Linked DNA regions of Arabidopsis thaliana. The protein of the gene in region 3 purifies or fractionates together with the protein of the main gene of each other region. This does not show direct contact. Each region holds a gene or a part of one and is shown on either strand. Other genes may lie near its edges.

Region 1 (7,860 bases), 8.3 Mb from region 3:
ATGAAAAAGAAGATAATTTTTTTTTTTTTGACTTTTGTGGATTAACAAAGAAACTGCAAGATGAAGTTTGTGTAACTAGAGGTTTAGTTCTTTACAAATTTGGGTTTTCTACATTTTAATGACTCCTGCGTATGAGTTAGGTTTTATGATCTACAAATAAGAATCCTTAATCAGGAATAATGCCAAAAGTTATGTTGATAATGACTCCTGCGTATGAGTTAGGTTTTTCACAAATTACCAAACAAATGTTGTACTTTTTCATCAAAGGTTTGTTCTTTATCAGTCATTAAAGATCTAAAAACTGATTTTCTCATTAGAGAATTGACTGTTGAAGACTTGAGAGTAGTTAAGACATATGCTAGTAGTATGTGAGACTGAGTTTTAAGTAATTTTGGAATATTTACTTCCAAATTCCGCAAATAGAATCTTTAGGGTTATTTTGTAGTGTAAGAGTTTTGATTTGAGTACTTTGTTAAATCGTCATTTTTAGTTATCTATTGGCCTTAAGAGTCAAGCATTGTGCTTAATATTAGATTCACACTCTTCAACTTGATAATGATAATTCGATATTACGACATACATTATAAAAGTAAAAACTCAGATGCCTGGATGAGTTCGGAAAATAGTTGCATGAATCTCTTGACTTTGAATCCCAAATGTGAACCATCTTAGTTCGATTGACTCGAATCACTCGTCATGTGTCGAAACATGATTGTGCAAGTCGCTGTGTGGGCAAGATTCTTCATCATGGCGAAGACTAAAACAAGAAGCACAGTAGCCGAAAAGGTTTGAACAGTTCCTAGCTCATTCCCTATTCTCCGGAAATCCTGATCAGTTCAGAAATCCCGAGGAACACCCACGATTCGGACCCAAAATGTGATGGCCGATGGGTAGTCCTTGTGTATAATCGGTTCCCACCTTACAATAGAAAGCATCCAATGATTATAATTGAAAGTCTCCGTTTTCATCACCTCAAGAATATCTTCCTCTCTCTCGAAATCTAACCTGAACGTTCCCAATCCCAAGTCCCTCCCAACCACTTGACCCTCTAGTTTCCAGATTCTAGGCATCATCAAAACTAGTGATCCAACACTCTGAACGTCAGGATTCATAATCTTTCCGATAAGTGTCGTCCTCTTTAACCTTCTGATTAATTCCGAGTTGTCAAACATGCGAACTCGAATTGTTCTTGGCAGGGGCTTAATGCCCTTGCCATTGTTTTCTCCAAACCGCGACATGGTACCGTAAGAAACCGAGTTTGATCGTATGTAATGTCAATGTGTGAGTGTGACCTTGTCTGAATATTAATCTAATTTATAACACATAAGATCATCGGTGAAACTGCTACATGAATGAATCACAATTCGAATCATGAGGATCTCTTACATAATATTAACATAAATTGACAAGTTATTTTTGCATGATTGAATTCCATTACTGTTCCCCAGTGATTCTAATTTTTTTGACTAAGGAAACCATATCAATAATCAAGGATTCCGTAATCTGTTTATTATGACATTTCTATTACAGGATCCATTATGATTCATCCCACACGAAGATTTTCAAACTTGTGATTGTGAGCGTAACATAATCGAATCGATTACAAAGATATAAACTAACTAAAATATGTTAATTTATATTTTGTTTTTTTATATATATATATATTTATGATTTTAATAAAACAATCATATTATTTTAATGCGTTGTTGTTTTTGTTTTCACAATTCTATTATTATTTCGAGCATCTCTTATTTTTGTATCTCCACCAATTCTTTTATCATTTTTTATCATTTCTTATAAAAAAGTGTAATTCAATCATTTTACAATATAGTATGTATGCATTCCAAAAAACATTATTGTATGAAACGAAACGAAACGAAACGAAACGAAGGAGTAGACGGTGGATATCAGCCTTAATTAATTAGAGTCAAAGCATTGTGATTAGTTTGACTTTTACATCCGTCACTATGTCAACGTTAATGTATTTATCCCCAACTTGCTAATGATAGAACAATATTTATTTTGATTTATCTTGAATTTCAACAGGTTAATTAGCTAATTATAGTTATAACATTTAAAAAAAACTCAGATGCGTGAACAAGATCGCAAACTAATTCCATGCATAATGCATCTCTTGACTTTGAAATGCATTTCTTGACTTCGAATCCCAAATGAACCATTTTGTTATATACTTAATATATAATATATTATATATATATATAACTTAAAGCGTGACATTGTTCTCCCAATTATATAGTTAATCACTATAAACTACAACTTGGTTTGATAGTCAAATTCAAAACCAAGACTCAATATCACTAAGTCTTCTCCATTAACGCTATAAATAGATTGAAATCCTAAGCTAATTACAATCACAAACACAAACACAAACAAAACGCCTCTCAATACTAAATCAAGAACATTGAATAAAACAATGTCTTCACGACAATCGGTGAGGCACCCGAGTCACAACCATCCATTGCGCGGTCACAAATGCGAAGCCAAAGACGAAATCATCTGCTCCGGTTGTGATCTCGATCTGGTTGGTGCAGCTTTCAAATGCACAAAGTCATCAGATTGTGATTACTTCTTGCACAAGTCATGTTTTGAACTTCCACGTGAAACCAACCACAAATCTCACCAACCCCACACTTTGACTTTAATCTATTCCCCAAAGTCAACGTACACGTGTAATGCTTGCGGCGAATACGGATCAAGTTTCACGTACAACTGTTCAATCTGTCAGTACGATGTACATGTCGGATGTGTTTCAATGCCTGAAACAGTGAAGCGTGAAGATCACCCACATCCACTTACTCTTCTTTACGGTTCTCCTTATAACCAACCCGGTTTAGTTTCCAAATGCGATGTTTGTGAAGACATTGTACCGGATAATCTCTGGTCGTATTATTGCAAGGAATGTGATTACGCTACGCATTTACACTCATGTAAGAAAGAGGAAGAGGCAAAGAAAGAAGATCAAAAAGGAGAAGGAAGTAAAAACTCGATGAATTCGGAGTTAGCTGCAATGTTAGAGGCTCAAAGAGAAGTGGAGAGGATGCAGATTGAGATGCATTTGGCGATGCAAAGTGCTTTGATTTCGAAAAAGGCGAATAAGGCAGCTCTCAATTGCATCTAATTCGAAGAAGTTGGGATTCTTCAAATTCTCTTTACTTGTGTCTGTTTTTCTTCTTTTTGTTGCTTTTTCTTGATTTATGTTGTTGTTGCTCCTGCAAACTTTTCATGTTGTTGTTGTTGTTGTTTTTTTCTTTGAAATTGTTATCTGAAATAAAAGAATTATCAGTTTTTTTTTTTGAACGATTATTGCTGCTTTCGTTTTTGTAACCATGTTACCTTTGCATACTATGTTTCAAGTTCCATAATCCATTTTATATTACTATAGGAAAAATATATAAGTATTGGATCACCCCTACTTATAGATTAAAAATATTGGGAATAAAGTATTGAAATTGTGAGATTTGGGGTTATTTAAAGTAGTTTGTGTTAGTGTTATCGATGTGTTAATAACGGATGGTAAAATAAAATCTAAAGTTTAAGATTTAATTATATCTATATTATCAATATAGTATTAATTACATTTTATTTTATATTTCTGTCAATGTTATTTGTTCGTAAAATCAAATTGATCTCAAAACTGAATAAAAAACAAACAAATCCAGACCTTGCAAATGCAAACACACAATTAGAAGTGATGATGTCAAGAAAAACACACACACAATTAGAAGTCACATAATCATTAGGGAGTTAACAAATGGGCTCATTTTGACAGAAGTTAAGCCCATTAAAGTAAAGATAGGCCCATTTATAATAGAGCCTCAAAAATAGTTTAATTGAGGAAGAAGAAAACTCTCTGCTAAAGTTGCTTGCTTTCTTCTTCTTCTCCGATTCGAGCTTCCTTCCTCTCAGCAAAACCTTCAAGTAAAGGTAACATCACTCTTCTATAAGCTTAGATTTTTCACTTTTATTCTTCATACTGTCGTCTCCCTGGATTCTATCTTCTCGATTTTGGTGATTCGAACACGATTTTACCTATCCTTGAGCGATCTCGATCCCAACTTTTTGAGTTGATTTTATTTCAGGAGTTTTCAAAAAATCTGTTGTTAGTATGTGATTATTAGTTTCTACACTCTGTTCTTCTGGTTTCGTATCATCAGCTAGCTAGCTTTGGTTCTCGAATTTTGCTTCTCAAGATTCAAATTTCACTTCGTTACTCGTTTTTTTTTGTTTGGGTGATGATTTGATTTTTCCTCATTTTGTAGAGTGGTGAATCGGAAAATGTCGCAGTCTTCCGTCGATATACCGCCAAAAGGTGGGTTTAGCTTCGATCTGTGCAAAAGGAATGATATGCTGACACAGAAGGGTCTTAAAGCGCCGTCGTTTCTCAAGACTGGAACGACTATCGTTGGATTGATATTTAAGGTCTTTGTTTCTATCTCACATTCTCTACAATGTAATGGGTTTTGGGTTTTCTTTTATAGCTTTTGAATGGTTAGCATAGTGTTATTGTTGGATAGTGAGTGCTCTATTTTGGTTGTTTGCAAGTTATGGAACTATGGAAGTGAACATAGTGACCTAAGATTTAAGAATTGTGGGCTAAGATGCAAATGTGATTGAACTTGTGTTTGTGGATGGCTGCTTATCAGTGAATTGGGCACCTGATAGCTTTAGATAAGATAACATGAAAGTCTGAGGTGTTGTTGCTTTCTCAACCCTTGACCATATGACATCACGTTGATGTTTTTATGGTCTATTTACCTCTATATTCTACAACATTTTATGAAACATGTGATTATGATGTGACATTCTCTTTTAGATGATTACTGATTTCATTTATCTGTTTTGTATAGGATGGTGTAATACTTGGGGCTGATACACGGGCAACTGAAGGGCCTATTGTGGCTGATAAGAACTGTGAGAAGATTCACTACATGGCACCAAACATTTACTGTTGTGGTGCAGGAACCGCTGCTGACACTGAAGCAGTAACTGGTAATTTTCTTAACTTCCAAATTTCTTTACTGCTACCCTAGATCAAAGTTGAATTTCTCGGAACTTCTGTTAACTCGATCAAAACCCAATGCTTAAGTTATTTTGATTGCTATTTCACTGTTCAGATATGGTCAGCTCACAGCTGCGGTTGCATAGATACCAGACTGGCCGAGATTCTCGAGTCGTTACTGCATTGACCCTTCTCAAAAAACATCTTTTCAGGTATTTTTGCTTCACCATGCTCAGAAAATTGTTATCTTTACTAATAGGCATACATAATTTAACTTCTCAAGTATCATTCAGCTACCAAGGCCATGTCTCAGCTGCTCTTGTGCTTGGTGGAGTTGATATTACCGGGCCTCATCTTCACACGGTGAGTTTCAAATTCCTGATCAAAATTCTCAGCTGTAGAAAGCCTTTTTCAGGTTCTTTCATTTTGTATTCCATCTCTAATGTTCTGGTCAAAATGCAGATATACCCACACGGTTCTACTGACACTCTACCATTTGCTACAATGGGTTCTGGTTCCCTTGCTGCCATGTCAGTGTTTGAAGCAAAGTATAAAGAAGGTCTAACTGTAAGTAAAGCAGAGACATTTATCTTTATGTTGTTTAGATCTCTTCTTGGCTGTTTGTTTGATGATTGACTCAAATCTTCCAGAGAGATGAAGGAATCAAGTTGGTTGCTGAAGCCATATGCTCTGGTATATTCAACGACCTTGGTAGTGGTAGCAATGTGGATATCTGTGTGATCACTAAGGTTTGTCATACTCCATCTTCCTCTGCTTTTAATAGATAACTGAAGTATCTAGAAATTCGTTTGCTTCATGACTGACAGATATTAAGCTAAACCAAAGTGATTCGCTACAAAACCAGTACTCTGGATTACCTATATCTTCGATTTGAAACTGATTGTTTGAGATGATTTTGGGACAGGGGCACAAGGAATACTTGAGGAATTACATGGAACCAAACCCAAGAACCTATGTTAGCAGCAAAGGCTATTCATTCACCAAGAAAACCGGTAAGAATCTACTTGTTGCAACACTTACTCGTCTCTGGTATCAGTCATGATTATTGAAGTGTTAAACTTGGTTTAATTCGATCTTCCTCTTCTTCTTACTGTTTTTGTTTCTCTGTGAAAACAGAGGTTCTACTCACCAAAATTACACCATTATTGGAGCGAGTCGAAATTGTAGAAGTGGCTGGTGAAGCTATGGAGGAATGAATCTCGTGTGAGAGACAGATACTAAGAGTGAAACCATTGTTCTACCTCACATGACAGTCATGTTTACATTTTCTACTTTGTTCAATATGAACGACTAAAATCGAATCGTAGTTGCCTCCATTTCGTCTTTAAATTTGGCTTGAACTTGTGATTAATGATTATGGATGATTCGGTTTTGAAATTTAGCTCTCACATAATTTTCAAAAGAGCTCTTTCTTACAAACAAAATTGTGCTCTTTCTTTTTTTGTCCACAACATCTTAAGACAACTCATCATTCTTACTCTTTTTCTTCCTAGAAGCAAAGCTACTTGGTCCAATCTCTAGTGACATTCTCTTTGTTCTGTAGAAGAGACCAAATTGAGTTATTATGAGACACAATCAAAAGGATGATTGTAAAAAAAGAGAAGAGCAAATATAGTAATGTACCTTTCTGAGAGCTCTTCAGATTCTTTGTCATCACAATGAGAACCTGTACCCAAATCAGATGCAAATCTAATTAAAGTTTCGATATGAGATGACAGTAGAACCAAAAAACAAAAGAGAGCAACCTTTACAGTTTTCTTCATCAGTCTCTTCATCTAACTCTGAATCAGAACTTGACTTAGGCATCCAAAAGTCGGATTCCTCAGAACCAGAATCTTCCTTATTGTGTCTTGGATTGTTTACTTGTGTTTCCTCAGTCCTTCCGCTTGATCCAGCTCCTCTTTCCACTTGCTCTATCAAATTTATCAACATCAAAACATTATAAGCCAAGACATACTAACTAAGATTCATTACACGATTTCAATGAATCTGATATCATGGGAGAAACAATTTTTATAGACCTAATTTGTGAAGAAATCTTTTCCCATTCACGTGTTTCCAGATATGTTCCTCGTTCTTGTTCACAGTATCTCCAGTTAGCTTGCACACAAGTTTCGAGCTGAGAACATAGCCAAAAGCAGGGAGAAAGCTTATAACTTGTAACCATTTTCAATACTGGCAAAACCAGAAGAAAGCTTACAACTTTAAACCATTTTCGATGCTGCGAACAAAGCCAAAAGGCTCAAAATCAGAAGAAAGATTATAACTTTTATAACCATTTTCAATGTATTCCACACTGACTGAAATTAACAACCAATGCTCCTCAGTGGTCTAAAGAAAAAACAAAATTAACCAGCTTTTTACTAGTAGCAGAAACTATGAAGCAAGGATCTAAACGAAACTTGAGCTAATACAATCTGAAACTCTAGAGAAATCCAAAGTCACAACTTTTAGCTCTCAAAACAGTGAAAGTTTCATCCTTTCTTGCTCAGAAAACAATCGAAGTTTCACAAAATAATCAAAACAGAGAGAAACATCATAACCCTCCAAAATTAAAGCTTGAATCGTGAGATTAGTAGAATTTGTGGATGATTCAATCTTACACTCTTATAAACCTAACCCCCAACTAAAAAAATCTGATTTTCCCAGAAACACACAAAAATTTGAGAAACTTATTTGACTAACCGAGAAAGTGGGCATTGCGAGAACATGTTGAGAGGAGGCTTTCCTAGAGACAAAGCGTGATTGATGAGTCCTAAACGACACCGTTTGTTACGAGCGTATGATTCTACGTCTCCCGCTAAAACCTCGTGACCAGT
Region 2 (7,288 bases), on a different chromosome or scaffold from region 3:
AGTGGCAAGGTTCTACCTACTCTGATTGGGGACAATGTAACAGTAGGTAAACCTTAAAAAGCGATTTATCAGTTTTGAAGTATCTGTTTTTATGTTGTGTTACACGATTGTTAGTTAAAGGTTTTGTTTGTAAAATGAAACGGAGCAGGTCACAGTGCTGTCATTCATGGGTGTACTGTTGAGGATGATGCTTTTGTTGGTATGGGAGCAACACTACTTGATGGTGTGGTGGTTGAGAAACATGCCATGGTTGCTGCTGGTTCTCTTGTGAAACAGAACACGCGAATCCCTTCTGGAGAGGTTTCTTTCTTTCCACTTTATCTTTTCTGGTTTACTGCTTACGGAGTTTGTGATAAGACTGGAACTGGAAACTGCTTTATTTCTCACTAAACTGAACGAGAAAATCCAAAGTATCAAGAACCAAAAATAGAACTCTAGCTAGGTTTACTTATCACGGACCCTGAAGCTCTACCAAGCCTAATAACGAACTGCTAATTAACCAAGTAATAGCAGCTGTAGTCTGCTGCATTTAGTCCTACGCTGACCTGTAGCTAAGGCTTGACCAGCTGAACTTCTTCAAGTAGATCCACTTTTGCTTTGCTTACAATTTAGTTGATACAGAATTAGTTAATGAAATGATATGCCTGTAAATTGTATTATATTTTGATCAAAAAGAAGAGTAAATAGTATTTATATATCGTCTAAATCTGAGAACCACCTTTGTTTCCGTTGCAATTCTACTTGTATATGAAACAAGGGTGAGTTGGGAGTAACAGAGGGTTCTTGTGTTTCCAATGTTTTATGAGGAATTAGACGGATTTCTTATATCGCTATGCTTTTGAACTACTTTCTTCAACCGTCAACCTGAGAATATATTTACAAGGACATATCTATAAGTTATCAGTTTCATGTGGCAGGTGTGGGGAGGAAATCCAGCAAAGTTCATGAGAAAGTTAACAGATGAAGAGATAGTATACATCTCACAGTCAGCAAAGAATTACATCAATCTCGCACAGATTCACGCCTCAGAGAATTCAAAGTCATTTGAGCAGATCGAGGTTGAGAGAGCGCTTAGGAAGAAGTATGCACGCAAGGACGAGGATTACGATTCAATGCTTGGGATTACCCGTGAAACTCCACCGGAGTTGATTCTTCCCGACAATGTCTTACCAGGTGGTAAACCCGTCGCCAAGGTTCCGTCTACTCAGTACTTCTAATTCCAATCTCAGGTTGTTTTTGTGTGTTGAAATCATTTCAAGACAGGATTGATTCTCTGGAAGGTCAAGAGAGATATTATTTTGGTTTTAACTTTTCTTCCGAGCAAGCAGGAGATTTATCATCCTTGCTCAATAATGTATGGTTGCATTATGAAGTCATTTCTTCGAGGAACAATTTGCAGAAAGAGAAACAAAGTTGGATTAATCTTTCATTCTTTCTCTCGCTGTTTCTCTCATTCAAAATGGTGTCTGTTTGATACACTCTCTAGGTTGGCGATTCGCCGATTATTATTATCATGTGACAGATTTGACTTAAGTAGGACTAAACATAAGCTAGTGGCACTCAATAACTCCTTGTTCCAAGCTGTTAAATAAACAAAGCCGAATAAAAACCACAATTGTACTTGGAAGTTGGAACATATCAAAGAGCTACACACAAGAAAATTGGTTAGAAAATCCAACTTTGAACTCATTCCCTCTTGCTCAAATTTCCATTGGTGCAACATCTTGATCACCTGAACCACCTTGTTCACCAGTTCCAGCAGCACCAGGAGCAGCTTCGGGTTCGGCCTCACCCTCACCAGCATCTTCCTCTTCCTCAGGAACCTTCTCAAACGTATCAATCACCTTTTGAATGCTTTCCTGGTCCAAGAAATGGAATGGTTCATCGACTCCTAGAACAGAAACAGTGCAGAGCGAGCTCTTCAGTGTTTCCCCTTGCAAAGTTTCCCTTATGGCCATAATAGCATCTTTTATCAGATCTTCTTTTGATGATTCTTGGAAGCTCTCGAATTTGCGCTCCAGATAGGTTTTCGCAGCTTGTGAACGAGACCCGATAGCGAATGCTTGATATTCAAAGTAGTTTCCGCTAGGGCAGTTGTAGTAGAGGTGAGCTCCTGACTCGTCCAATCCACCTACCAGCAAACCCACACCATAAGGCCGTTTCCATGATCGTTGGGTACATACCTGCTCAAAGATAATTTATGAAGATGTTTAATACAAGACAAACAAATGACTTAACATTTGAATGAAATCAGAGTGTTGTTCAAACTACAAGACTGATATCAATACGTTCTCAGAAATCAATTGAAAATGTAGATACAGCAGCTAACTTAATTTTTGACAGACATGAAAGTAAGTGGGACGTAGCAATCAAACCTTTTAAAAATTGTGAACACATCATCTAACTTGAGAACACTACGTTTAACACCAAAAGTAGTGAACATGTAGCACAAATTTCTATCACAACTGTAAACCAACATCTTACTGAAAATATACTTCATTAGGCAAGTAAATAAAGTGGCCAGGACATACTACAACTACAAGTAAGTAAACAAATGCAAAGTAATACAAGTCAAAACCACAAAACCAAAAAGAGATCAACAAAGACGTATATTTATTCTAGAATTGCAAGCAAAAACAACTCTATCAAGCAAAGAGAACAGACGATGACAACACAGAAACAACCAAACGACCAAAATCATCACATTCTTATACACTTCTATCGTCAAAGTGGGTATACAGGTTAACTCTTTCTAATCGGATTAAGCAACTAGCAACAGAACTGGATATGATTAACAACACAAGAATCTCTAATTCCCAATCACTAAGACTTGATCACAAACCAATATCACTACTTGCATAACAACACACACATTCTACAAATAAAATTGGCCACATTGCTAATAAAAACCTAAACTTTACTCCAATTACATAAAGCTTCAAACTTTCAGATACTCACACATCATAAAACTAAACCCTTTAGCAAATTCTAGGTCAAAATTCAAAAGTTAACCCAAAAATCTCAATTTACCTGAGCTTTATCAGCAAGATGAACAACAAGACGACCAACAGGAAGAGGAGACTCATAAGTAAAAGAGTGATTAATAGACTCAGATCTCATATATCGAGAGAGAACACGACCATCAGCAGTGAGACCAGCAATAGCAACACCAATATGATCATCGACTTTAAAGATCTTCCTTTGATGAGAAGAGAGCTCTGATTGTGCTTTGTTGACACAAGCGAGGACGACATGAGAGCGAGATCTGAGTCCTATTGCTGCGGAGCCTTGTTTCACAGCTTCCATGGCGTATTCGACTTGGAATAGTCGACCTGTGGGACTCCATGTTGTCACATCTGTGTCGTACTGGTTCCTGAACATCTTTCTTCTTCTTGTTCCTCTGTTCTTCAAAAGCTTTTCGTTTGCTTCAAGCTAGAGGAGGATGGTCTCTCTTATAGAGCTTAGAAGAAGAAAGTAAAGATTGTCAAAAAAAAGAGAAAGAAGACAGTAGAGTAAAATGGGCTTATGAAACTTAATGGGCTGGGTTTAATTATCCATTACTCTTTATTATTTTTTACACATTTAAAAGGATTATAATTTTATAAATAAATACTTAGCATTATATTATTTCTTTTTATAGTAATTAATTTAATTCATAATTTAACATTTGCAGTTTCAATTGGTTTTACATTATTTATTTACACATTTTTCACTACACTGATTATAAATTTACTATTCCCTCTGATCCTAAAACAATGATATTTTGGATTTTTCACAAATTAAAAAAAATAACTTTTATATTATTTTTATTGTTTTTTCTTACTGCAAACTATGTTTTAATCTATGAATGTAGATCATTACAGAGAAGGTTTTTGAACCAAATTGGCTCGTTCCTAAAGTCTGCTTTGAACACAGAAATCGTAAAAATTGGGGAAGCAAAATAGTCCGCTTAAAACACAAAAATCGTAAAATTAGGAAAACTAAATGGTGAGCTATACTATTACAAAGACGTTTTGTGAAAGTAAATACAATAGATGAAAATCTGAAGACCAATACTCTAAATCTAGAAGTAAATTAGCAATTTTACTTCTATTAGACTTGCCATTGATGGTTTTAATGAGGACTTCGCAATCTCTTTGGAATTGTACTTTCTTGTATTTTTGTATCCAAATTTGTTGCATCGCCACAAGTAACGCTTTCGTCTCAGCCTTTAGGAGAGTGTTGACATGATCTAAAATTGAAGATCCTCATGTGTTTGCTATCCCTTCATGGTCTCGTATAATCCATCCACCCGTACTTTAAGTACTATTCCTGTGTAAGTCCGCATCGAAATTGCACTTGACAAAAGAAACTGTCGGTTTTCTCCATGAAGTATTTTCCGATGATGGTGCTCTTGTTGTAGTAGTTTTTTCTTGCCTCCCTCTCGTGTTTATAATTCATTTATTATTTTTTTAATTAATTTAATAATATCAGTTCTACTTTTTTTCCTTTCTCTATTGATCACTAATGAAAATAATATTAATTTAAAACATCAACTTTTGTGAAACAAAAGTAAAATTTAAAACATCAAACTTCATGGACTAGAGGGAATTACAAGTTATTGTATTTTATTATTTCTAATTTTATGAAAATTAATAATTTAGCATGTGTAGTTTAAATTGGTTTGGAATAAAATTAATTTAGAAATCTAAACAAATAAAGTCACATGTTATTAGATTTTTAATTTGATATTTTGTTTTTGATAAAATCTTGTATTATTTGGTTGGAAACAAAGAGTATTAAAATTGTGTCAATTAGCTAACTAGCCAAATTCGACATACAAATTAGCAAAATAGTCATACGTCAGAAAACTTTAGTAAATAGTTTTTTCTTGGGGTGTAAAATAACCAAAATAACCTGGAAAAATAGACGGGAACTCGTGAGTTCCGACACTAGGTGTCTATATGTAGGGAACATAAACATGCGTAGGTAATGAGTAACCCGTTTTATTTATAAAACACACGCCATTTATATATGTTTTTGTTCCTGATGAGCCACATAACTTATAGATTTCAATTACCAATGAGAACATAAACATGCGTAGATAATGAGTAACCTGCTTTATTTATTAAACACACGATATATATAGATGTATTTGTTCATTTTTTTCTTAATTCTATAAACCACATACCTTTTAGATTTTACAGATGCATTTGATATTTAAACACTAACTTATATCACTAAATATGTCAAAAACGGACCATATATATATACAGATGTTTGCTTTGTATGCGACTAGTTATTCAATGGAGACTAACAGATAAAAAGGTCAATGGTAACTGTAACATAGAATGTTATTTAAAAACAACACATGTAATTCCTATATGCATACGCTGTATGAAAACAATGGGCGTGAGTTGGAAATTGTGTATTGGGCAATAAACTCGGCAAAGTATCAACTTATAGAGATCATACATTACATGCAATGTTTCGTTATATCAGTAATCATTAGTATGCAACTTGCTACATAATATGGTCGCCAAATCTTATTTGCGATTTGACAATGTAAATCTATCCGTAGGAAAATATTTGATACGTATCTATTGCATTAAATGCGGCGACAGTGTTATATACGAGTTCCAATGTTGCATTGGGGGAAGGGGTGAAACAAATTCCAAAAACAACGTGTTTCGTATAAATATAACATAGGATAACCACTAAGCATCCACCAGATAAACGACACGTCGCGCATGACGTCTGCGATAATGTTAAAACACATGAATTATTGTGGTTATGCATGTAATTCAAATACAATTCAGTTATATGTTTGATGCGACATTTACAGAAGCGACAGATTCCATCGATTAGCAGCCCTTCGAGAGTTTGGAGGGAAATCATAATTATTCAATATTATGTGGCTTAAAAGCTTGTAAGCACTGTTGCGGAAAATGTCTTAATATATTGTAGCCCTACTTCGTAGCAAAAGATTCCACATATAACAGGAGAGATGAGTAGCATTTAAAACACACGATAATGAGTAACCCGCTTTATTTATAAAACACACGCCATCTATATATGGCGTTGTTCTGGATGAGCCACATAACTTATAGATTTCAATTACTAATGAGAACGTAAACATGCGTAGGTAATGAGTAATCCGCTTTATTTATAAAACACACGATATATATATATATATATATATATATATATATATATATATGTATTTGTTCCTTCTTTTTTTTTTAATTCTATAAACCACATACTTTCAATTACAGATGCATTTGATATTTAAACCCTAACTTATATCACTAGATATGCCAAAAACGGACCATATATATAGAGATGTTTACTTTGTATGCGACTAGTTATTTAATGAAGACTAACAGATAAAAAGGTCATTGGTAACTGTAAAATAGAACGTTATTTAAAAACAACTCATGTAATTCCTATATGCAAACGCGGTATGAAAAGAATAGGCCTGAGTTGGAAATTGTGTATTGGGTTATAGCCTCGGCAAAGTATCAACTTGTAGAGATCATACATTACATGAAATGTTTGGTAATAGCAGTAATCATTAGTATGCAACTTGCTATATAATCTAGTCGGCACATTTTATTTGCGATTTGACAATGTAAAGAGTCCGTAGGAAAATATTTGATATGTATCCATTGCCTTAAATGCGGTGATAGTGTTATATACGGGTTCCAATGTTGCATTGGGGGAAGGGGTGGAACAAAGGCCAGAAACAACATGTTTCGTATAAATATAACAAAGGAGAATCACTAACCATCCACCAGATTGACGACACGTCGCGCATGACGTATGTGCTAGTGTTAAAAAACATGATTTATTGTTGTTATGCATGCAATTTTAATACAATTCAGTAATAAGTTTGATGACGACTGCTTCCGTCGATTAGCAGCCCTGCGAGAGCTTAGAGGAAAATCATAATTATTCAAAATTATGTGGCTTAAAAGCTTGTCAGCACTGTTGCCCAAAAATATTTTAGTATATTGTAGCCCTACTTGTTATCGAGACATTCCCAATATAATAAGAGAGATGAGTAGCATTTAACGATCACACCACTTCCTCTTTGAAAAAATTAAAAGGAACAAGTATACAACAAAGGAGAAAGACAAGTTACAGCAATACTAGGTATGCCATTAATGATAGATTTGTTTTACAGAGTACCATGTAAAATAGAACGTTATATAAGAACAACTCATGTAATTTCTGTATGTAAACGAAGTTATACTGACGAATTTGAAAACAATAGGCTTGAGTTAGAAATTTTGTATTGGGCTTGATG
Region 3 (7,282 bases):
ATCTGATAAAATCAACAAAAAAAATAGCTATTAAAATGGGAAGTCAACAAAAATTAAGTGAGTAAAATAAAATAAAAAAATCAACAAAAATAGCGAATTAGAAGCAAAGTTGAGGATTGTTGGCATTTTTTGAAAGTTCAAGATATTTTTGACATATTATTTTTGTCAACCACTCATTAATTAAAGGGCCTTAATTAAAACCTTAATGGATGTGTAAATTTTTAAAATAAGAAAATAAAACCTTAATGGATCCAACAATTGGGCTAAGTTTATTTTAATTTAAAATAAGCCCAACAACTAAAGCCTTTTCTTCTTTTCTCCTCCTACGAAGAAAAGTGTCTCTTTCATTTTTCAGTCTCACACATTGCGTAATTTTGCAGAGAAGATCCAACCATACTTCAGTTCTACTGTCACAATTTGAGAAGAAGAAGCGTGAGATCTGATCACTAGAACTAGGAAGAAAGAGCTTAGACTACAGAAAGAGGACTTACAGAGATGGATAAAATGAATCAGGCTATTGAGAAGATGAAGATGTTGGTTGGTATGGAGGTTGAAGACGAGCAACAAGCTGCTGATGAAGAAAGCTCGCTCTCATTCATGGAAGATCTTAATCGCAATTGCGCTTTAACTACCAAACAGGTTCTTAACTTCCCCAGATTCTTCGATCAAGTCCTCTGAATTTGGTAATTTTTGTAATTTCACATGCGGACTAGGTATTCGTCCAATTAGAGAAGTTAGGCTCGTAAGCTCACTGAGGTAGAAATGTAAATGAGTTCCTATTGAATGCATATGATGTGATCAATAACATACAAGAGATTTTGAGATAAGTGTTTAGCAGTTCTATGATTTTTTGGAGGAGAAGGATTATAAAATTCCATGTGGTATGATAACAGTTTGATTAATAGGACTAAGTTTTGGCTTGCTACTACAAAAAATTAGGACGCTACTTGGATTTAGCTCCTCTATGAACCTGTAGTGTTGTCTCGTTTACAAGAATCTGTTAAATTATCTTGAATTGGGTTTGTCTTTGGCTAATATCTCGTTTTTTTTGTTTATGAAAACAGAGATTTTATGGCTTTGCAATTTGCTTGTCAGCAGGTTTGACCTGTACACTTTTGGTAAGTATAACTCTCAAGTCTTAGCAATGTTAGAAAGCACTATCCTTATTTCTGCATTGAAAGGAATCATTTGATTGGTTTAGCTGTATTCTTCTTCTGTACTTTGGGTTGTCTTAGCTCTTTTACTGGTGATATAACTCTTTATCTCTTATTTGTTTGACGATGCAGTCGATGCTTGTTTTCTTTAATCCGGTCAAGTTTGGCATCACATTCACTCTGGGAAATTTGATGGCACTCGGGAGGTTCGTATTGGAATTTTGTGTAGCTTCTTGTTATATTGCATTGGTGTCGCAATTCTGTGTGTACAGTATTTCTCCATTTTTCTCTCTTTGTTCCTGGATTTTAAGTTTCATGTCACTTTTGTATGGCAGCACAGCATTCCTTATAGGCCCACAGCGGCAGGTGACTATGATGCTTGACCCAGCTCGTATCTACGCTACTGCATTGTATCTAGCAAGCATTATCATTGCCTTGTTTTGTGCTCTTTATGTAAGTGGGGTTTCTCAATTCAAAATACTGGATGCACAACATTGCTTATGTTCAGTTAAAACTAGGTAGTGAAAATGCCTTGTTGGACTAAATATAATCTGTCATCATCTTTCTGTACAGGTTCGCAACAAGCTTCTGACACTGCTGGCTATCATTCTTGAGTTCACTGGTCTAATTTGGTATGCTAAAACTTGCTTTCAAGCTCTTACATTTTTATCCTAACTTTCTTAGTAATACAATTACATGATATATACTCTTCGAATAGTATATTATCCCGAGTGGACCTAATGCTCCTTATACGGTTTCTGAGTTTGTCACAAAAGCTGTCAACATTCATCTTGGAGAATGAATCCCTTGTGTTCTTTAAAACTGCAGGTATAGCTTGAGCTACATCCCTTTTGCAAGAACCATGGTCTCAAAGATCTTCATGACTTGTTTTGACACCGAGTTTTAAGCTACAGTTTACACACATCAGGTCAAAGATTTCTTGTTCCAAAACCTTGATGCTCTGGCTGAACGATTGGTCAATCTCCTCCAAATGTGTTCAAAGCAGGACTTGTTTGATGCACCGGTAACGTGCCATGCCCTTTATGGCTTATAATTGCCTCTTTACATCAAGTTCACGTCTTCACAAATCCTAGCACAGTTTTTTGTATATTTGCTGTGGAACTTAACGTAGATTTGGATGTTATTGCTGTTTGCTACAAAATTAAGATGTTAACTTCACTTGTTTTAGTTTCATTGTCATGGTTACGCTAAAGACTTAATCCAGGAGGGAAATTGCATATTCTTATCAAAAGCACTTAACTTGAAAGTTGCAGCATAAAATCTAAAAATGGGAGGAAAATAAAATCTGAAAATAATATGCAAAGAAATAGAAATCGATCCCTGCCCTTAACGAACGAAATCACATAGTACAGTACAACCTTGTAAAAAGCTAGCAGATAAAAAGAGAACATTCAGTAGAAGCCAAAGAGATGCAGAAGAACAAAGCTCAATGACTTGAAGCGGCTGGAGAAGTAAGCTCTCTAGAAGACAACAGTGTCGAGCATAGTGCCTAGTGTCTGAACAATGTTGGATGACATGAGGTTCGAGACATGTTCTTCCAGATGCTTCTTTGCATCTTGTCTTCCCACATTCACAATTGCCAGCTTCTCTGGTGACAACTCGTCCTCCTCTTGAACCGCCTTGTTATATTTAGCAGCCAAGCTCAACATCTCCTGTTAAACAGGAGATAATGAAAATGTCAATGAACATGATTGTAGAATATGCTTGAACAGATAAAAACATAACCCTGTGTTTCTTTACCTGGACCGTCTGTTCGTTGGTCTTGGAGTGGGTGTCAAAGCGTCTTAGCGTCAGACCATCTGTCCATTTCTTCTTGTGGAGGTTGAGTAACATCTTCTCCTCAAGCTCGTTCTTCCTATAGTTGATTGCTATTGAGTAATAGTGTCTGTTCAACCCGTGAATCAAAGCCTGCATAGTAGTATCCAAAAGTCAGTATCAGAGAAAACCTTTGATTTCGTTTCAACTTAAAAACAGGACACATTCAGTTAGTGATAATCACCTGGATCGATGGTTTGTTCAAGTGCCCAAGGTTCGATGTTGTTTGACGGGGTTCCTGCCCAAGCATAATGGTCTGTGGATTTATGGAGCGGAACGCATCAATCACCACCTTTCCTTTCACACTCTGAATCGGATCTACCACCACTGCTACAGCTCGCTGATTCAAAGCTTCAAAACTCTACAAAAGCACACAGATATTCACAATGAACATATATAATACAAAGTGAATCACAACAGGGTATAGAACACAATGAGTAACATTCTATTTAGTTTTTTGAGCCATCAATAAAGCAAACAACAAATTCTCAAGTGCAATTCACAAATTGATAAGTATGCAAACAGAGCAAACAAAACTCTACCTGTTGAGTATTAATGTCAACCCCAGAAAGCCAGCAGCCGAATCCAGGATGTGAATGATACCAACCAACCACCATCTCAGGTCTGAAACAAGATACAAGAAGAATCAGATCCAAAACCTAAATAGGAAACCTCACTTAAGCGTAGTAAATAGGTTTAGAGAAGAACTAGTTACCTTCCGGTCTGTTTAAGCATGTCGAGCATATTAGTCTGGAAAACATGATCAACAGCTTCAACACTAACACCAGTACCACTCTGAGGCATCGCAAAAACATCCACAACCCTAACAGTGTATTCATCCACAAACTCTCCAAGCATCAATCCCATGACTTCCATAGGAACACCAGCTCTTCCTGCAATATTCCGATCAATTTTCATTAAATCTCTACTCAAATCCGCATTTTGAATCTCAGAAACAGATCGAATAAAACCCTAGAGTTCCAGAGCAAAAGAGGACGAGAGTAAAATCACAGAGAACGAGACAAAATCATAAAACCCTAAGCAAGAGAAGACTAAATTAGAGCTTGGGTTTGGATTGATTACCGTGCTTAAGCATCTTGAGGAGAGCGAGAGAAGAGATGTAAACCTGCTCCGATGTATCGAGAGTCGGAGAATCAGGCGATGCGTGACCTAAACCGCCACCAGCTCCGAAGATTCTCTGTAGTCTCTCCATAATCAGATGAATTGATTAGTCGTCTTCTTCGAAAGTTTGTTCTTCTGGGTTTTTGCTACAAGAATGGGATCTTATAAGAAAACCTTTCTCAGTTTTCTTTGTTAACAAGACAGACGAAGATGGATCGAATTACTCGATTAGGCGACACTAATTACATATAAGTCCTTCAATATTTCCTTTTATTTATTGTAACCAATAATTCACCAAATTTCCAAATCATCCCCAAAAATAAAAGTTAATAACCAATTTGAATTTCCATATTTTTTTTGTCAAAATTTTAAATTTCATTACAATGCAAATCATGTCATTGTGTTAATATTGTTAATTCGGTTGCATAATATAAATCTACTTTACTTAGAGCTTATAGTTTTCGTTTTATGTTTAGACTTCTGGCTAGTGTATATACAATAACTAAACATGTAAATATTGAACTGTTTTCCAGACGGATTTTATTTGGCACCTTGAAAGTTCACAAGATCAATGAAAGAAAAAAGGAAAACGACTCCGTTTCAGTCATGATCAAAGGTTCTCCAACAAAACCTCACAGCTCTAGACCGAAATCAAACTCTAATGGATGGGAAAAAGAAGAATCCTTTTTGAGAGCAGGCAACATTTTCCAAACGAAACTGTAGAGAGGTTTCAACTCAAAGATCAGGCATGCCCTTTCCAGTTTTAGCATCATATGTCTGCTCCCAGACAAACTCCATTGGTGTGTCCTTAGGGCCAGCTGCAAAGAGAAAAGTATGAATCCTTCTATAAGAAAACCGCTACTATCAAGTTTGTTGATTATGTTGATAGCAAACGAATTATGTTGATTCTATGTTTATCTTATAGCCGATCTATGATTATGTTTTTTTCTCAGATAGCTAACAGACTTCCACTATATATTTCCAAAATCCAACGTTTAAAGAGATATTGAGCTTCTATGTACCAGTTGTGGGTCGCGGCGTTGCCCTTATCTTTAGAATCTCTGGTCGGGGAATTATGGAACCAGATGTGCCAGTGCCTCTGGCTACTCTTACTTTTGTTCCATCTTCTAGGTATTTTACACCAACCTTACAAGGCCTCCTGTGGTAGAAAAGATAATAGATTAATAAGTGATCTCTCGCTTGAGCAAAAGAGTAATTGGAGACAGTAGTGCAGAGTGAAATCATACCCAGTGACAGGATCAACAACTTGGACATTTGAGGCGTGAAGAGGAGCCTCTACAGTGAAAATTCCACCTTCGTGATCAGGGCCTCCCTTTATATGTTTCTTGATCTGAGAACACAGGAAAAAAAAAGCATCAGCGAAAAACATATACAAGCTTCAGTGAGTAGACAAAGACTATCCCAGCAGCAAGGTAGAACATCCAAAACGATAACAGTTTCAAGATAAACAATTCAAAAGAATTGTGTAGCGAAATCCATGGAACTAGAGTCGCTTTGTGATTTAGTAACCGTCTACTTGATGCTTGGATTAAAAAAATGAGAATCAAATGAAAATTGATAACTCTATGGTTGGTGTTGAGCTAGTGATATGATATTGATTCAGTACTAGTTCATACTCTACAAACCAAATCAAGAACAAAAAAATCAAAAAATGAACTTGTACATTCATTCTCTAAATGCATGAGACAGAGCGAACAAAAGATATCCAGAACAAGACTATCTCACCAGATTCTTCCCTTCAACGATGACACGATTTTGGGATCGAATGACACGCTTTATGGTTCCAGTCTCACCCTTATCTTTCCCACGAATTATCATTACCTGCACATAAAATCATACCCCAGAAACAACAGATCAAAAATGAAACCAAACTAATGAACACCACAAGAAGAACATGAGTGGTGTACTCACATTGTCTCCTCGAAGTATCTTCCAGTGTCTGATGAGTTTCTCAGCAGCTTTCCAGCCCATAGCTGCTACTCTCTTTGAGAATAATCCTAAAAATTACATCACAACAAATTCACGTCTTTCTTCTAACAAAAAAAACAACGAGAAACGGAAAGCATGAAGAATCCAAATCAAAGAAATTGAAAATGGCAGGGCCAATTTCGAGGGTTTTCAACTGCGGAAAGCCACCTAAATTAGGGTTTTTTCACGTCAAAGATACGCAACCAAAAAATTTATACATAATTCCGATCTAATTCGAAAAGGGAGAAAATTGATGATTAGAAATGATATCGCCGAAATTGACAATTAGGATGCGAAAACAAGTTTGGTCTAATAGAAGAAGCTTGCCTCTGAGAATTAATCGAGAGATCGAGGAAGAGGAAACCAATGGAGTTGAAGCTTTTTTGTTTTCCGCCGACGGTGCAGGCAGCGTTAACCACGGTGGCGAAGAAGTCGTCAGTATTTTGATTGTGAGTGTAAAAAAGATAAACCCTAAAACCTCTCATGTCTTCAAACATTAAAACGACACCGCATTCGCAATTTGGCCAAAAAAATTATAAGTCACTAACTAATTAGGTATTAACGATTTTAATTAATTGGGATGAGACGATATATGCTCTGTTTTCTTTTCTTTACTAGAGATGCACTGTTGATGTATTATTAGAGACCAAATTTTTTGTATTCCGATGTGTTAGAAGTTCACATTTTTATATGGTTTGAACTTGGAAGGTAACTACGGGATTAAATATGCCTGGATTATATCGTGTATCTAAATCATGATGGTGTAAATTCGTTCTTGTTTTGCTTTTTGCTTTGAATGGATGTTGTAGTTAGTGCGGACTAATCCGTAGCGGTTTAGTCCATACCATTTTTGGGTCGGACAACAAACCGATGCGGACTTAGTTTAAAGACTGTCCGCAGTTAGTCCGATGCGGTTGTCTTCTATTTTTTTTAAGTATGTACTATTACGGATTATAATTTATGAATGGTAAATAAAAAGCGGTCCGGTCTATAAACGGTTTTGTCTGTTTGGACCGCTGTAATCATTCAAAGTTTGTTTTTACAAATTTACCCATGACCACTGTTGAATCTAACATAGAGAAGAATTGAATGAGATTGAAAATTAGTTGATGCAGGTTTCTGACATTAGAAATTACTTGCCTCCTGCAACATGTACATTGATTGAATCTACTTGCTCTTAT

Evidence for each region. The genes of interacting proteins can lie anywhere in the genome.
Region 1: the proteins of AT5G23540 (region 3) and PBB2 fractionate together in Arabidopsis thaliana (co-fractionation; one large-scale study listed by BioGRID). This does not show direct contact.
Region 2: the proteins of AT5G23540 (region 3) and PAF2 fractionate together in Arabidopsis thaliana (co-fractionation; one large-scale study listed by BioGRID). This does not show direct contact.

The regions. Positions count from the first base shown.
Region 1 is NC_003076.8:16,246,888-16,254,747, reverse strand, and holds PBB2 (20S proteasome beta subunit PBB2), read left to right. Parts: upstream 1-3,822; 5' UTR 3,823-3,945; exon of another isoform or gene 3,946-4,188; intron 4,189-4,280; 5' UTR 4,281-4,296; coding exon 4,297-4,440; intron 4,441-4,868; coding exon 4,869-5,010; intron 5,011-5,135; coding exon 5,136-5,232; intron 5,233-5,313; coding exon 5,314-5,383; intron 5,384-5,482; coding exon 5,483-5,587; intron 5,588-5,670; coding exon 5,671-5,769; intron 5,770-5,945; coding exon 5,946-6,033; intron 6,034-6,157; coding exon 6,158-6,237; 3' UTR 6,238-6,462; downstream 6,463-7,860. Other genes in the region: AT5G40595 (uncharacterized protein), read right to left, coding at 669-827, 972-1,238; AT5G40590 (Cysteine/Histidine-rich C1 domain family protein), read left to right, coding at 2,435-3,139; AT5G40570 (Surfeit locus protein 2 (SURF2)), read right to left, coding at 6,497-6,578, 6,665-6,707, 6,787-6,954, 7,063-7,160, 7,242-7,262, 7,727-7,860. UniProt on the Arabidopsis thaliana protein: The proteasome is a multicatalytic proteinase complex which is characterized by its ability to cleave peptides with Arg, Phe, Tyr, Leu, and Glu adjacent to the leaving group at neutral or slightly basic pH.
Region 2 is NC_003070.9:17,315,313-17,322,600, reverse strand, and holds PAF2 (20S proteasome alpha subunit F2), read right to left. Parts: upstream 3,483-7,288; 5' UTR 3,382-3,482; coding exon 3,031-3,381; exon of another isoform or gene 2,184-3,030; coding exon 1,701-2,183; 3' UTR 1,399-1,700; downstream 1-1,398. Other genes in the region: GAMMA CA2 (gamma carbonic anhydrase 2), read left to right, coding at 1-46, 149-300, 918-1,217.
Region 3 is NC_003076.8:7,934,693-7,941,974, reverse strand, and holds AT5G23540 (Mov34/MPN/PAD-1 family protein), read right to left. Parts: upstream 4,346-7,282; 5' UTR 4,204-4,345; coding exon 4,074-4,203; intron 3,884-4,073; coding exon 3,706-3,883; intron 3,615-3,705; coding exon 3,533-3,614; intron 3,352-3,532; coding exon 3,175-3,351; intron 3,084-3,174; coding exon 2,916-3,083; intron 2,828-2,915; coding exon 2,636-2,827; 3' UTR 2,371-2,635; downstream 1-2,370. Other genes in the region: AT5G23550 (Got1/Sft2-like vescicle transport protein family), read left to right, coding at 496-639, 1,065-1,118, 1,287-1,360, 1,490-1,607, 1,728-1,786, 1,983-2,061; AT5G23535 (KOW domain-containing protein), read right to left, coding at 4,848-4,930, 5,135-5,271, 5,360-5,463, 5,859-5,954, 6,045-6,104. UniProt on the Arabidopsis thaliana protein: Metalloprotease component of the 26S proteasome that specifically cleaves 'Lys-63'-linked polyubiquitin chains. The 26S proteasome is involved in the ATP-dependent degradation of ubiquitinated proteins.